Linked DNA regions of Arabidopsis thaliana. The protein of the gene in region 2 interacts with the protein of the main gene of each other region in a pairwise test. Each region holds a gene or a part of one and is shown on either strand. Other genes may lie near its edges. The genes, in order: AT2G32450 and SCAB1.

The links.
Region 1: the proteins of SCAB1 (region 2) and AT2G32450 interact in a two-hybrid assay, tested with the Arabidopsis thaliana proteins (one large-scale study listed by BioGRID).

What each region holds. Positions count from the first base shown.
Region 1 is NC_003071.7:13,776,391-13,781,898, reverse strand, and holds AT2G32450 (Calcium-binding tetratricopeptide family protein), read right to left. Parts: upstream 3,580-5,508; 5' UTR 3,286-3,579; coding exon 877-3,285; 3' UTR 501-876; downstream 1-500. Other genes in the region: KAO2 (ent-kaurenoic acid hydroxylase 2), read right to left, coding at 4,116-4,212, 4,306-4,427, 4,535-4,641, 4,732-4,810, 4,906-4,992, 5,061-5,324, 5,404-5,508.
Region 2 is NC_003071.7:11,403,295-11,410,550, forward strand, and holds SCAB1 (plectin-like protein), read right to left. Parts: upstream 5,128-7,256; 5' UTR 4,906-5,127; intron 4,591-4,905; exon of another isoform or gene 4,529-4,590; intron 4,455-4,528; 5' UTR 4,450-4,454; coding exon 4,168-4,449; intron 3,855-4,167; coding exon 3,726-3,854; intron 3,509-3,725; coding exon 3,416-3,508; intron 2,976-3,415; coding exon 2,835-2,975; intron 2,738-2,834; coding exon 2,669-2,737; intron 2,548-2,668; coding exon 2,464-2,547; intron 2,320-2,463; coding exon 2,139-2,319; intron 1,919-2,138; coding exon 1,802-1,918; intron 1,622-1,801; coding exon 1,563-1,621; intron 1,478-1,562; coding exon 1,343-1,477; intron 1,247-1,342; coding exon 1,097-1,246; intron 1,014-1,096; coding exon 963-1,013; 3' UTR 685-962; downstream 1-684. Other genes in the region: AT2G26780 (ARM repeat superfamily protein), read left to right, coding at 6,831-7,016, 7,106-7,256. UniProt on the Arabidopsis thaliana protein: Plant-specific actin binding protein that bundles and stabilizes microfilaments (MFs). Has no nucleation or capping activity. Regulates MF reorganization during stomatal closure. The binding to F-actin is insensitive to Ca(2+) and pH.

The DNA.
Region 1 (5,508 bases), 2.4 Mb from region 2:
TTGGATGTGTACTTGACTTTTATTTAGGAGAATTACTATAACAAACGTAAGAAACAAGTAAGAGCTCGAGAGTAGAAAATGGGGGAGGAGAATGTGATTGGGCAGTGAACCAACTAGTTGCATCCATTGCCATTGGCTTATGTCATTTGCATATTATTTCACACTATTCCAAGAAATAATTTCCTTAAATTGCGGCTCCCAAAGAAAGAAAAGATAATAATTATGTATGCAAGTAGGTCCATAACATATTTTTTCTTATGAGGTTCCTTAATCTTTGTACTTGCACCTTATCTGAGTTCTGACATCACACTGCAGTTCTTGGATCAGAAGTCTCTTTATTTCTACATTTTCACTTTACTTTATCTGGATATATTGATGTCACTCACTCTACAGTTTTCTTTCTTCTTAAGTTCCTCAAAATATAGTAATAATTCCTTCTCTAAAATGTCATTTCATATAATAATACTGAATCAAATAGCACAATGCGAGAAAAAAGTAGTACTAAAAGATAAAAAGCTGAAAAAGCACTCATTCCAAATTTAGCATCAATATGCAAATGACTACAGATGCTATGAAATTCTGAATCTGACAAGAAAGTCAGAAACTGGCCAAGCCTGAAAATGTCAGAAATTACATTCTAGAAACTGAATACAGTTTATTCCATTCACGACCATCGACAAAATCATATTAATCTGAAATTGAGTGGAAAATAAAAAAAATACAACAAGAAATCATCAATCATACTTGCTCACCAACACACACTACATCAAAACTATACACACAACTTAAGAAAAAAAGACTACAGATTAAGATTTAAGAAACAAGAACTGTGGAAATTGAATTATACCACCAAAAAAAAAAACTTATGGATATTTTTCAAGTGGCTATTGTTTTTTTATGAGATTGCATTGAAAAACAAACACACTTAGCTTTCATGGCTTCCACTTCACTCGCATACTCTCTGAATTTATATTCCTCCTGCTGTTTAAACGTTGGAGGAATCTTCCCTTCGCTGTAACATTGGTTACAGAGGCTAAACCCTGTTTTCACTTCCTTAAACCGAGACCCGATAATCGGATATCGGCAAACTGAACAAACCTGGTTCCCGTGTCGATTCCTATCTCTTGTTTCGAGTTTAAAAACAGTCGACATGATACCAAATCCCCACTCTGAATCATCGTACATCTCTAGAAACTGGTTGAATGTTACCGTCGAAGTATCATCGCTTTCTCCATGAACTTCTAACATTTCACTCATTCCTTGTGATGGTATGTAGATAGCTCTCAAGAGTTTGATGTATTTGACGGCTTCCATTTTTGTAATCTGAGAGCTTCCTTCGTTTACCGGTTTCCAAAGTAGCGCATCAAATGCAACTCTTTTCCTTTTGTCTGGATGGCCACCGCATAAAGGAGCAATCACTGCGTAAAACATTCCCAAATCGACTCTTCCCGACCCTGAATCATCAAGAACCGAGAGGATTTTCTCGTTTATGGCCTTAATAGCTCCTTGGAAAGTTTCAGGTTTCAGGACATTAAGCAGACGCCGGAGAATCTCTTCTAAGTTTGGTCTCCTTATAGATTTTGTGGGAATTCCATTGCCGGAATAGGATACAGGAACATTGTTGTCTCTCATCTCTCTTCTTAATGCTTCAACATCGCATTTCCACAGCCTTGTGACTCTCTGGAAGGCTCTAACTTGAAGAGCTATGGCTAAATCTGGCCTTAAAGTAGTCTTCTCGCCTACCGTCTTGAATTTGGAAGATTCCACAACAATAAACGGACCTTCTTCGTTAGCACTATTTCCTTTTTTGACCTTTTTCTTCTTCTGCAACTGTTTCAGATGAGATACCGCATCGTGCAACTCAACTCGGTTAGTCATTTTCAGGGCCTCCTTTAAAGCCCTTTTAGCTTCTTCGGTCTCTCCAGCACCCAACAAGGACACAGCCTTGTTGAGTTGTGCACGCCAATGGTTAGGCCACACCGCTAAAACTCTAGTGTACATCTCTGAAGCTCTTTGAAACCTACCCAAATCCATGTAAAGCCCACCGAGGTTATAAAGAGCATCAACATGACCAGGTTTCAAATCTATAGCTCTCTGGAAAACCTCAATAGCCCTCTCATCCTCCCCCATTGCATGAAGCGACGAAGCCAAATCACAATGCGCATCAGCATAATCCGGTTTCAAATATATAGCTTCCTCTAAAGCCTTCACAGCAGCTCTATACTCTCCTACACCAAACAGAGCACTACCTAGAAGCTTCAAGGCTCTGTAATGCGTTGGACAAAGAATCGCAGCCTCTCTATAATACTCACAAGCACTCAAAACCATACCTTCACCTTCAAGAGAGATACCAAGATTGACATAAATCTGAGGAAGCAAGTAAGCCCATTGATTCCCACCAGACTCCGCAGCTTCCAACGCCAACAAGAACTCGTCTTTCGACTCTTTATACTTCCCCAATACATAAAGACAATTCCCAGCTTTGAAATGAGGTCTCACATCAGTCGGTTGCAACTCACAAGCTCTCTTAAAACTAACAAGAGCTTCTTTAAACAACTGGTGCTCATACAAAACCTTACCAATCGCCATATGTCCATCAAAAGCTTCTTCTCTTGATCTAGCACCATCTGCTTTACTTCTCAACACACCTAATTCCTTCACAAACACTCCATAATCATGACTCGATTCTTCCCAATAGATTCTCTTATCCGAAATATCCGAAGACGGTCCTAACTCTCTAGACCATCCAGCTTCAGAAAACGCATCAACATTATTATTATCCACTTTCAATTTCCCATCTTTCTCCTGCTTAGACTTCAATCTCTTAACCAAAATCTCCAAATCATCAACAAGCTTCCACGTCTCATCGAAAACAATACCATGGTTCGGCGAAACCGCCCAAGCTGCCGTTCTCTGCTGCTTCTGCGCTTCAACAGCTCTCTCATCAGTAATCGAAGATGACGAAGCTTCAGAGGCACCCTTTGTCTCTTCGTTAAACTCAATCCCTAAAGCGTCGAAATCACGATCAACATCTCCAGCACCGTCGTCGTAAGTTCGGAGAAGACCGTCAAAGGTCAAACCTTTATCTCCGTCGATGAATTCAGCGTAGGTTCGAAACACTTCATCGAGAATTGCGCTTATCTGTTCGTCGCTGAATTTAACCCTAGGGTTCACAGCTACGACGAGAGCTGACATCTCTTCACGGCTTAATCCTCCGTCGAGATTCCCGTCGAATTGCTGGAAAATTCTCTTGACTTTCTCCGATCTGCTTCCTCTCGTCGTCATTTTTTCCTCACCGGAAAAATAAAAATCCAACCTTTTATCTTTCCCTCCCCACAAAATCTAAAAGTGAGAATCCAATGTAGGAAAAAACACGAAATTGAACACTAATTACGGATCAATTTCGAAGCTTTGTTGAGAGAAGCTACTTAATCCTCTGGTTTGTATTGTGAAAAAAAGTTGCTAAATTTAAGAAATGAAGAAGAAATCAAAGTGGTACAAGAGTCCGAGCTGTCTATTTGTTGTCTCTCTGTGTCTTAAAAAAAACTCAGAGATAGTGGACAGGAGATAACGGTGTTGTTGTACTCTGCTGTTGTGGGCTTAACTCTATCTTTTATTATTTTGATTAATTCTTACGAAATATTTGTCTTTCTAATTTTTTTTTTAAAATTCGAGAAAAGTAAGTACAACTATATAAATAGTTCAATAGTCAATACCAATAAATTGAATATTTATTGAAGAAGTCAATTCTCCACTTGTAATTAGAAAATGTGATAGAGAAGAGATAAAATGACGCATTATTGGCTAATAAATGCGAAATAAAGAACAAACCTTGATATTAGTTTAATCAATTCACACTAACCTTGATGTGGTAATCAAGCTAGGTTTTATTTCAAGAAATTCGATTTTACTTTTTTATAACCAAATTTGAAGCTAAACCAGAGAAAAATTTCAACATTACTTTGACAAATCCTTCAAACTATTGATACATCCTAGTAAACCAAATTCACAAACCGAACCGGTTTGGATCAAGTTCTAAGAGAAGATGAAGACAATGGAAACCTGAGACGAAGCTTATATATTTGCTAAGGGGTCTACTAGTTTGAAGATGATGATTATGGCATCGTTCTGGTGATTCTTGCTAGGCAATTATCTTTGGGTCGATTGTGAGGCAAGAACATCACCGGACATCCGGGATTGCTCCTTTCCACCCTGTGATTATGCCATTGGAAACAAAACATTACGATTCTGCATGCAGAGTGATAACTTGAAAGCTGAGCTATATACAGAGAGAGAGGAAGTTACCGGTATTTGAGGAGGAAATGATGAAGAAAAATGGAAATCTCGAGCTTGGCAAGATCGTTTCCCGGGCATAGGTGGCTTCCCAAACCAAAAGGAAGGAATGTGCCTGCTTTTGGTGTGTATCCCTGTAGAAGGAACCAGACAATGTTCAGATACTTTTGACATATAAGAGACGGCATCACCAAATACAGTTACAAAGACATTTCATTGTAGAATGCTTATCTCTACGTACCTCCCATCTTGAAGGATCAAATTTCTTTGGATCCGGGTAGATTTCAGGGTCCAAATGGACGTTCCTAAACCAAGTCAGAACCTTCCAGCCTTTTGGAATTATATAGCCTGAAAGAAGAGACATGAGAAATGAGTATAATAAAAAATTAAGATGATTTACCATGTTCCATGTAGGTAATGAGTATACTGATTACTGACCATCCATTTGGACATCACTCTTTGCTTCCCTGAAGGCCGTCAGAGAGAATGTAATTACTCGAAGGGTCTCATCAATAACCTGATAAAAAGCTCTTTCCATCAGTAAAAGACTGTAACAACTCATACAATGTTATAAACACCAAAAATTACGTTGCAATGAGGCAGAAACTTGACCTGAGAAAGATACACCATTTCACGTGTCTCTTTAAGCGTCAACTTCTGTCCCGGTGCTCTCTTTTTTACGATCCTCTCTTGTTCTTCCTATGGTACAACGAATATCACAACTCAAGAGTATAAACTGAAATTGTGAAACATATCTTCTAATTTACCTTAGCCTTTTGCAGAATCATAGGGTGTTCTTGCATCAAAATGGTAGCCCACATAGTGAGGTGTCCAGAAGATTCATGACCCGCATTAAGATACATCAACAAAAGGTCAATAATTTCCTCATCATCTAAGACTCTTCCGTTTTCATCTTTAACATCTATTAGATTATCCAGCATATCTTTTCTATTGGATGAAATATTCTGCTTCCTTTGATTTCTTCGGTTAGTCACTATGGACTGAAAGGCAGCTACAAGTTTTTTCCTTGCCTGTATAAGTGGAAAATACTACTCTTCAAATCCCAAGAGATATGCACAAGTGGAAACAAGAGGTTGTTGAATGTTTTACCTTCAAAGCTCTATGATAAGCAAACCCAGGAAGATTAATACCCATTGCTCGAACTCCATAGTTAAGGTTGGTATACTCCCGTTCCAATGAATCCATGACATGCTC
Region 2 (7,256 bases):
ACATTGATCCTCTGTATGATCCCGTCAAAGATAATGATGTTAACCATGAACAAGTTTTTAAGTGTGGTTTCATTTATCTTCAGTTTCCTTGGATTCCTCAAATTACGTTTTGGAATTTTTAACTCTTTTTGTCACAGATATCTTCTAGTTAAAATGAAATCTTTGGTTACTAATCTAAAGACATAAATTCGTTTATTGACGAATCTAAAAACCATAAATCACTTGGATATATATTCATTCCCGTTTTTTTCCTCTCTTCCTTCGAAACTGCGTTTCAAACCTCTAAATCGAGCTTTTTGATTTTGAGGGTTAGTGTTGGCTTTGTTGATGAGACAATTGCGATAACACTACTTTTGTGTAGTTCCACTATATCAAAACTTTGTGACTTTGTCACATGTTAAATTTGATATGCATCTAAGGGCAGCTGGATTCGCAGAAGGAAGAGTGATGAGGTGGACGGTGGACCAATGTGGTTTGCTCTTCTTCCTTCGCATGACAACTTAACTGTTTCTTGTGCATGAAGGAACAAAACCCTAGTCTACTTTAGTTGTTGATCATGTAGTTGTGATGATCTCTCTCTTTTGTTCTATCTTTTTGTTGTTGTTTGGTTTTAACATTGGAATCTCTGTGAGATCGGTTAGTGAGAATGATCGACGATCATGGATTTTCGGGTTTGTTGCAGGATTTTGGCTGTGATTCACTTGCAATATATTGTATGCTTTGGGATCCAGTCCAAAACAAGCAATCCGTTATATTACCTCAAGGGCAAGTAAGATCAAAACAAATGAATAAACACAAGCCACCCGTTACATATAGATTCACCATCACCTCTTACTTCACTGCTCGATATTTTTACACACAATACAAGTACAATTCAAACAAATGCCTAAAACCTATATAAACTACAAAACAAATAAGCTCTTACGGATACTAAAAATCACAACTTAGGTAAGAGCCGTTCTTCAAGGGCTTTGACCCGTCTCTGTTCTGTCTTCTGGACCAGCAAGTGTCACCTGCAACACATCAGTTTCATACTTACATCAACACCTCTCTCTACAAAAACCAAAGTTTCTAACTCCATCTTAGTTATACTTACATTACAATCACAAGCAAATCTTCGTGCAAGCATGATCGCAGCGTTTCTTTCTCTCTCAGACTCAAAAGCTATCACAAATGACACTCCTTTCTTCGCCTGCCAATACAATGCCTGAGCTGCAGCATTTCCACCTCCTCTCACTCCACATAGCTACTCAATATGATCATCAAAGATTATGATATTATAGATCTCACCGTGTAACACTAAAAATATGACAATTTTCTCGGGGTAAAGTAGTATCCTTACCTGCATTGCACTAGAGTAGTACTCTTTTGCAATCACTGTCTTTCCCTTGCAAAGTTTTATCCTCATTTTACCAACATGAAACAAGTGGATAGATTCTGATGTATGGTCTTCCCCACTCATTTGGGTCACAACTACCTGTAAATTACAATAAGGGGAAATATAATATACATACAAGCACCAAATATATAAATACTAATTCCGAGTGTTAGAGAAACCTTACATTGAAATCAACATCGTGTTTCCGTACTAATGCCTCGACATAGCTACCCAATCCAGCAGCTGCACCAAATCAAGACTTTGTTATGTTTGATAAATCATCTAGTAATGACGAAAATCAGGACCGTGTTTGTTGATTTGTCAAAGTTAAGTAATATCTACTAAGTGACAGAACCTACACAAACCATTTGATCATGTTGACATAAACAATAACCTTTTACAGTAAATAACATAACAATGAACCTGGATCAATCTTTCCCACTGTGGATAACGAAAGCGAATGGCCATCGTAGATGATATCTGCATGCAAGACTCGTCCAACGTCAAAAGGCTCGGGAGCGTAAACTGATTTTGTGGCACCTGAGATAGGAACATAGTTAGGAAACATTTTCCTCAATGGGAACAATGTTAAACTTGATTTTGCCCTATTTACACCAGCCTTTGGAAATATATTGTTCACAATTCCAAAATCATTAGTTAGAAGAAACAATCTGATTTGTAATCGACTAGCTCACAGAACAGAACATTTTAAAACTCAAATATAATAAGAGAAAGAAAACAATGAGAAAGGTGAGTGGACCTGATATAAGCTCCTTCTTGGAGCCATCTGAAGATGAACGGTACCATTGTATCGTACACTTGGAAAGATCAGGTGCATCATTGGAGCAAGGTCTAACTCGCAAACAAGATCCTAGAGCTTCAGTGCCATCTATTTCATATACAAGGGATATATTTTCCTCGCTCTTTCTGCACATTGCGAGCTGAATCATAGAAAAATGTATATAGTATCAGAATCCACTATTTGTCAACCGCATACAGTCACAAATGTGGAAGTTAAGACATCAAAAGGACCTGGAATGCACTAAATAGAATATATATGTGTATGGAATATGGATCCAACTAACCTTCTTTTGTAGTTGAAGAAAATGTTTTGATTTCTCTGCAAGCTGATTTCTTAGTGCTCGAAGCTCATATTCCATATCCATTACCTAAAACAATACACATGATTTGACTTTTTAAAAACAACATAAGATACTAAAGAAGCATCGACTTAGACAGACAGATAAAGCCATTTAAACCCAAGAGATAAACCATCTTTCATCTACCTACCCTGCTTGGTTGATGCAGCATTTTAATCCGCCTAGCTTCTTGAACTTCCTTCATTAGATCTTCCATGTCCTGATACGATAAATTATAACAATACTCTGTTAACACGAATCAATGTTATAAGCATAGGACATTTACAAGATTATGATAGAAGCCATCACTAAAATACTTGTTTCCCAGAGGCACGAGACATCTGTTCATGTTCTCGCAGGGCTTCTTCAACTCTTTGTACAGCTGCTCTTGCACTTTCAATCTCAGCACGTGCAAACGCTCTTTCCTCGTCGACAAGTTTCTTAGCATCCTCTGAGGCCTAGTTAAAAAATCATACCCACTAATCAGCAAGATTATTAGAACACATCTGCATCTTTTTCAAGCTAGCCCATCTAGTAACCACTAATTTACAACCGACAACAGAAGACTAATACAAATGTCCCAAGCAAGATAAGAAAAAGAATCAAGAATAGTAAGTGAAAGATTATGTCTGTAAAGAAACTACATCATAGTTCTTTGTCAAAAGTAATAGAATATAAACTACTCAAATGAAAACAAAAAGGACAGACTCTCTCTTAATCATCTGGTTAGCTCAAGGACTAACAAAAACTGCATGGTATTAAGCCGTGGACGAAAACGTATTTGCTATTTTAGAGGACTTGGTTGTTTCAAGTGAAATGACATAGACGTCTCCTAACTATTCACCTCAAGTGACACGAGAAAAGAAAATATTGTCACTGTCTCAAAGGCACACTTTACCTGCTTTAAAAAAGACGCTAGCTTTTTCACTTCCGCTTTTTCTATGAATAGCTCTCCTTCTCGCTGAGTCAACTGAACAGCTAGAGCTTCAACCTAGCAGAATTCAAAATTCCAAACATACTTAAGATATAGAGGTGGAAGGGAAAAATGTTGGTAATGGGGATTGTGAGACAATTTAAGAACGCAGAACTGAAAATGGAAAAAAACACATTTCGGTTTGTAGAAAAGGCTAGAGGCGATATATATCACCATGTAAAGGAACGGAGCTAAATATGATGACTAAAAGACTATAAAAGAGTAAAAGACTAACCATGGCAATGGCTTCCTCTACATCATCCTTGTTTCTACCTGCCACACGTCCTCTTAGAGACTCCAATGCATCTCGAAGTTTCTTTAAAAGAACATGTTTCTCCAACGAAGTTGCTTCTTTGAGTTTTGCCTGCATTCGTTCCCAACCAAATTAGCCTTAAATTTTTTTTTCAATCATATCATATTTTCACTTTAGCAACCTAGATTAGCCTTCTTGATCCCCTATTTCTGTATTTATAACAACAAAAAATTCTTTGCTAACAAAAAGTAAGGTTATCACCGAATTAAAATCCCTCTTATTAAATCCTATTTAGTAGACTCAATCAACACAAAAACTAACATAAATGTGCAAATCAACTCATTACATAGTAACCAAAGATAGTAACAATACAAGAGACACATTTCATCTATAAGACCTCAACAAAAAGAGAATAATATCAGACCTCCTCAGATAGCTTAGCAGCTGCAGCCAAACCCTTCTCAAATTTATGAGCGAGGTCACGAACAGACAAACGTTTCTGCTGGTCCATAAGCTGCGCTGTCTCACGCGCAACAACCTCTTTCATGGACATCACTTTAGGATCGTCTTTAACATCAAATATTTGATCATTAGCTCCAATTCTATAATTAGGAAATCTACTTGAAGCAAATTTCACATCTGCTGATACTGCAGGAACACCATCTCTCTGTAATGAATCCCGAAAATCGCGTGTAACCCTTGTCATTGTATCTGTTTATAAACAAAACCAAAAATGCTTAGACAAAAACAAAATAAAAGACAGAAAATGCTAGTAGATGTCTAACCACTATGAATAGTAATATACTCCAATGGACTCACAGATCTGTTGTTGAATCTTCACAAAAATCTAAAACAACAAAAACAAAACATTGTTTTTTTCAGTACCTACGCCAATGTTGGAAATAACAATGGATTCAACACACATTTAAAAACATTTTATAGCTACAGAGATAAAGAATTGATGGATGTCAAAACCCTAGATTACCAAACAAAAGAGCTAACAACAACTACCCATATACCAATTTAGTAACAAATTTCAAAGAAGATAGAAATTGAAAGTCAAATTTTAAGAACTTGAAATCGAAAATCAGAACACAAAATACTGCAATAATCACGAACAACGTCGGAGATTTTCAAGAGAACAAAGCTAAACACTTCTCACCTGAATCCGATTAATGGATCAGACAAATGTTTTGAGTTGAGATCGAATTTGAGAAGGTCGTCGAGAACAGAGAAGGAAGAAGAAGAAGATTTGGTCTGAGGAGAAGGCAAAAAGTGAAGTTTGAGAGAGTCGTAAGCATTAGCTTTACTAAAAAGCAAAGACCGTGAAAAAATTGTGGCTTTGGTGGAAACACTGTCTTTTTTCTTTTTTTCTTTTTTTTTTAATTTAGTTTTGTTTAAAAGTTTTTCTGGTTTAGGTAATAAATTGTTGCATAATTTTCAACTCCGGTTGATGTGTGTCGCTGTCGGACTGTTGTTGTCTGAAACTTAAAAATCACAGAGCGGTCACGGGTTCTGTTTCGTGTTTAACTGCCACGATATTCTTTTTAATTGTTTTTTAAAAGGGAAAGTAATCAAAATGATGACACTAATAAGAGTGGTTTGGTGTGAAACTTAGACCTTTCTTACACAAATTTGGTAAAGCCAAAACTTTTTTTGGTCATGGGGATTTATTTTTTTTTACTTTTTATTTTTTTTTTTGTCATAAAGAAATTATAGAATCTTGTTGTGAAAGACGTAAAATATAATGCCCAAACAAAAAAAACGTAAATTGGCGGATAAACTATAAGTTCCCAAAAAAACATAAGCTGGCGGAAAAAGAGAATTCTTCGGAATCTAGATCCTAAATAAAGAAGATGAAGTAAACTCAAATTATAATGCAGAAAATATCAAACCAATCTCGAAAAAGGACGATAGTACAAACTAAGATCCATATTAACAAGACAAAATCTTAAAAAAATAAGAGATCCAACAAAGCAGAAACTCCACTTCTTTTAACACACCTGCAAGTACGATTGATCAAATCCAAAATAACATTTACCACCTCCTATCACGTTGAGAGCCAATCTCTCGAGAACCAAGGATATCATAACCCGACATGCAAGACCACTAAAAGAAACACAAACACCATTCCAGATACGACGATGACCACCAATTCGTCACTTAACGTCTAGATAGAATCCTTCAAAAAACAATCAGATTACGACAAAATTGTAAAAGAAGGACAAGAAGCGAGGCAAAACTTCTCAAAACCCACCAATCACAAGATCACCAATCACGAGTAAAGCCACAACTATTTTAATTAAATCATACAATATCCTAAATTAGGCTTTTCTTTTTGATAAATTAAAAAAAAAAAGATAGGATCATCCAACAAAAATAGTACAAACAAAAAATGTCAAAATCTTGCATCACCTCTAAAAACCTTTCATGTTAACAAAATCTTGCATATTTTTGCCCTATACAAAGTCTTGCATATATACAAAGTCCTTTGGTATATTGTTGTTAGCCACCTTATCTAACTCTTTTACGGGCTCTGTCCTCATGAAGAAGAACAATTTTTTTAATAAATTGTTACCTTACCACATATAAGCTTAATCTGGAATGGTTGTGATTTAATCAATGAAGATATTGCCTCAAACCTGAATAGAGGAGTGAAAGTGGATTTCAATTGGTTGGTTATCAAACCCATCAGCATGATACCTGTTAGTTTCTCGGCCATACCACTCAATCATTGCCATAAATATCATTGAAGTCTACTAGTCTGTTTGAGACATTCAACTCACACAAGTGGTGGGTTATTTTCTCTGACAAACACGGCCAAACAATAAAATTGCTGAAAACAAGAAGTTGCCTAAAAAACCAAAGGACTTGTGAGAAAAATGGCAAATGCGGGCTAGGATGGGCTGTGGATTAGAGGCCCAATATGCCTAATGGGATACAACACGACGTCGTTTAGACCAGCCATAGTTCTCTTGTCCGCCAAGACGGGAGAGACTAAGGAAAAGCATAAGAAGAGAAGAACCAAAGAAGAAGCAAAGAAGCACTGATAAATCTCTGCAACTCAACAAATTTCTGAGATTAGCTATGGAAGGTTCTTCATCTTCGTCTTCGTTAATTTCCAAATCGGACGCTGAGTTGGAGGAAATGCTCGATCGGATGCTGACGAGACTCGCTCTTTGCGACGACTCCAAGCTCGAATCCCTAGTCTCTAACCTCCTTCCTCTTACCATATCTTCTCTTTCTTCTCAATCTCCCGTTGTTCGCAACAAGGCAAGTCAGAGATTTACGAGCTCTTCCTCTGAATTTAGTGTTTGACGATTTCATATTGATTCTTAGTGTGTGTTGATTTCATTTTTCAGGTTCTTGAGATATTGAGTCATGTTAACAAGAGAGTGAAGCATCAGCATGAAATTGGTTTGCCTTTATTGGCTTTATGGAAATTGTACACAGATCCTGCTGCTGCTCCTATGGTTAGGAACTTTGCTATTGTCTATGTTGAGATGGCTTTTG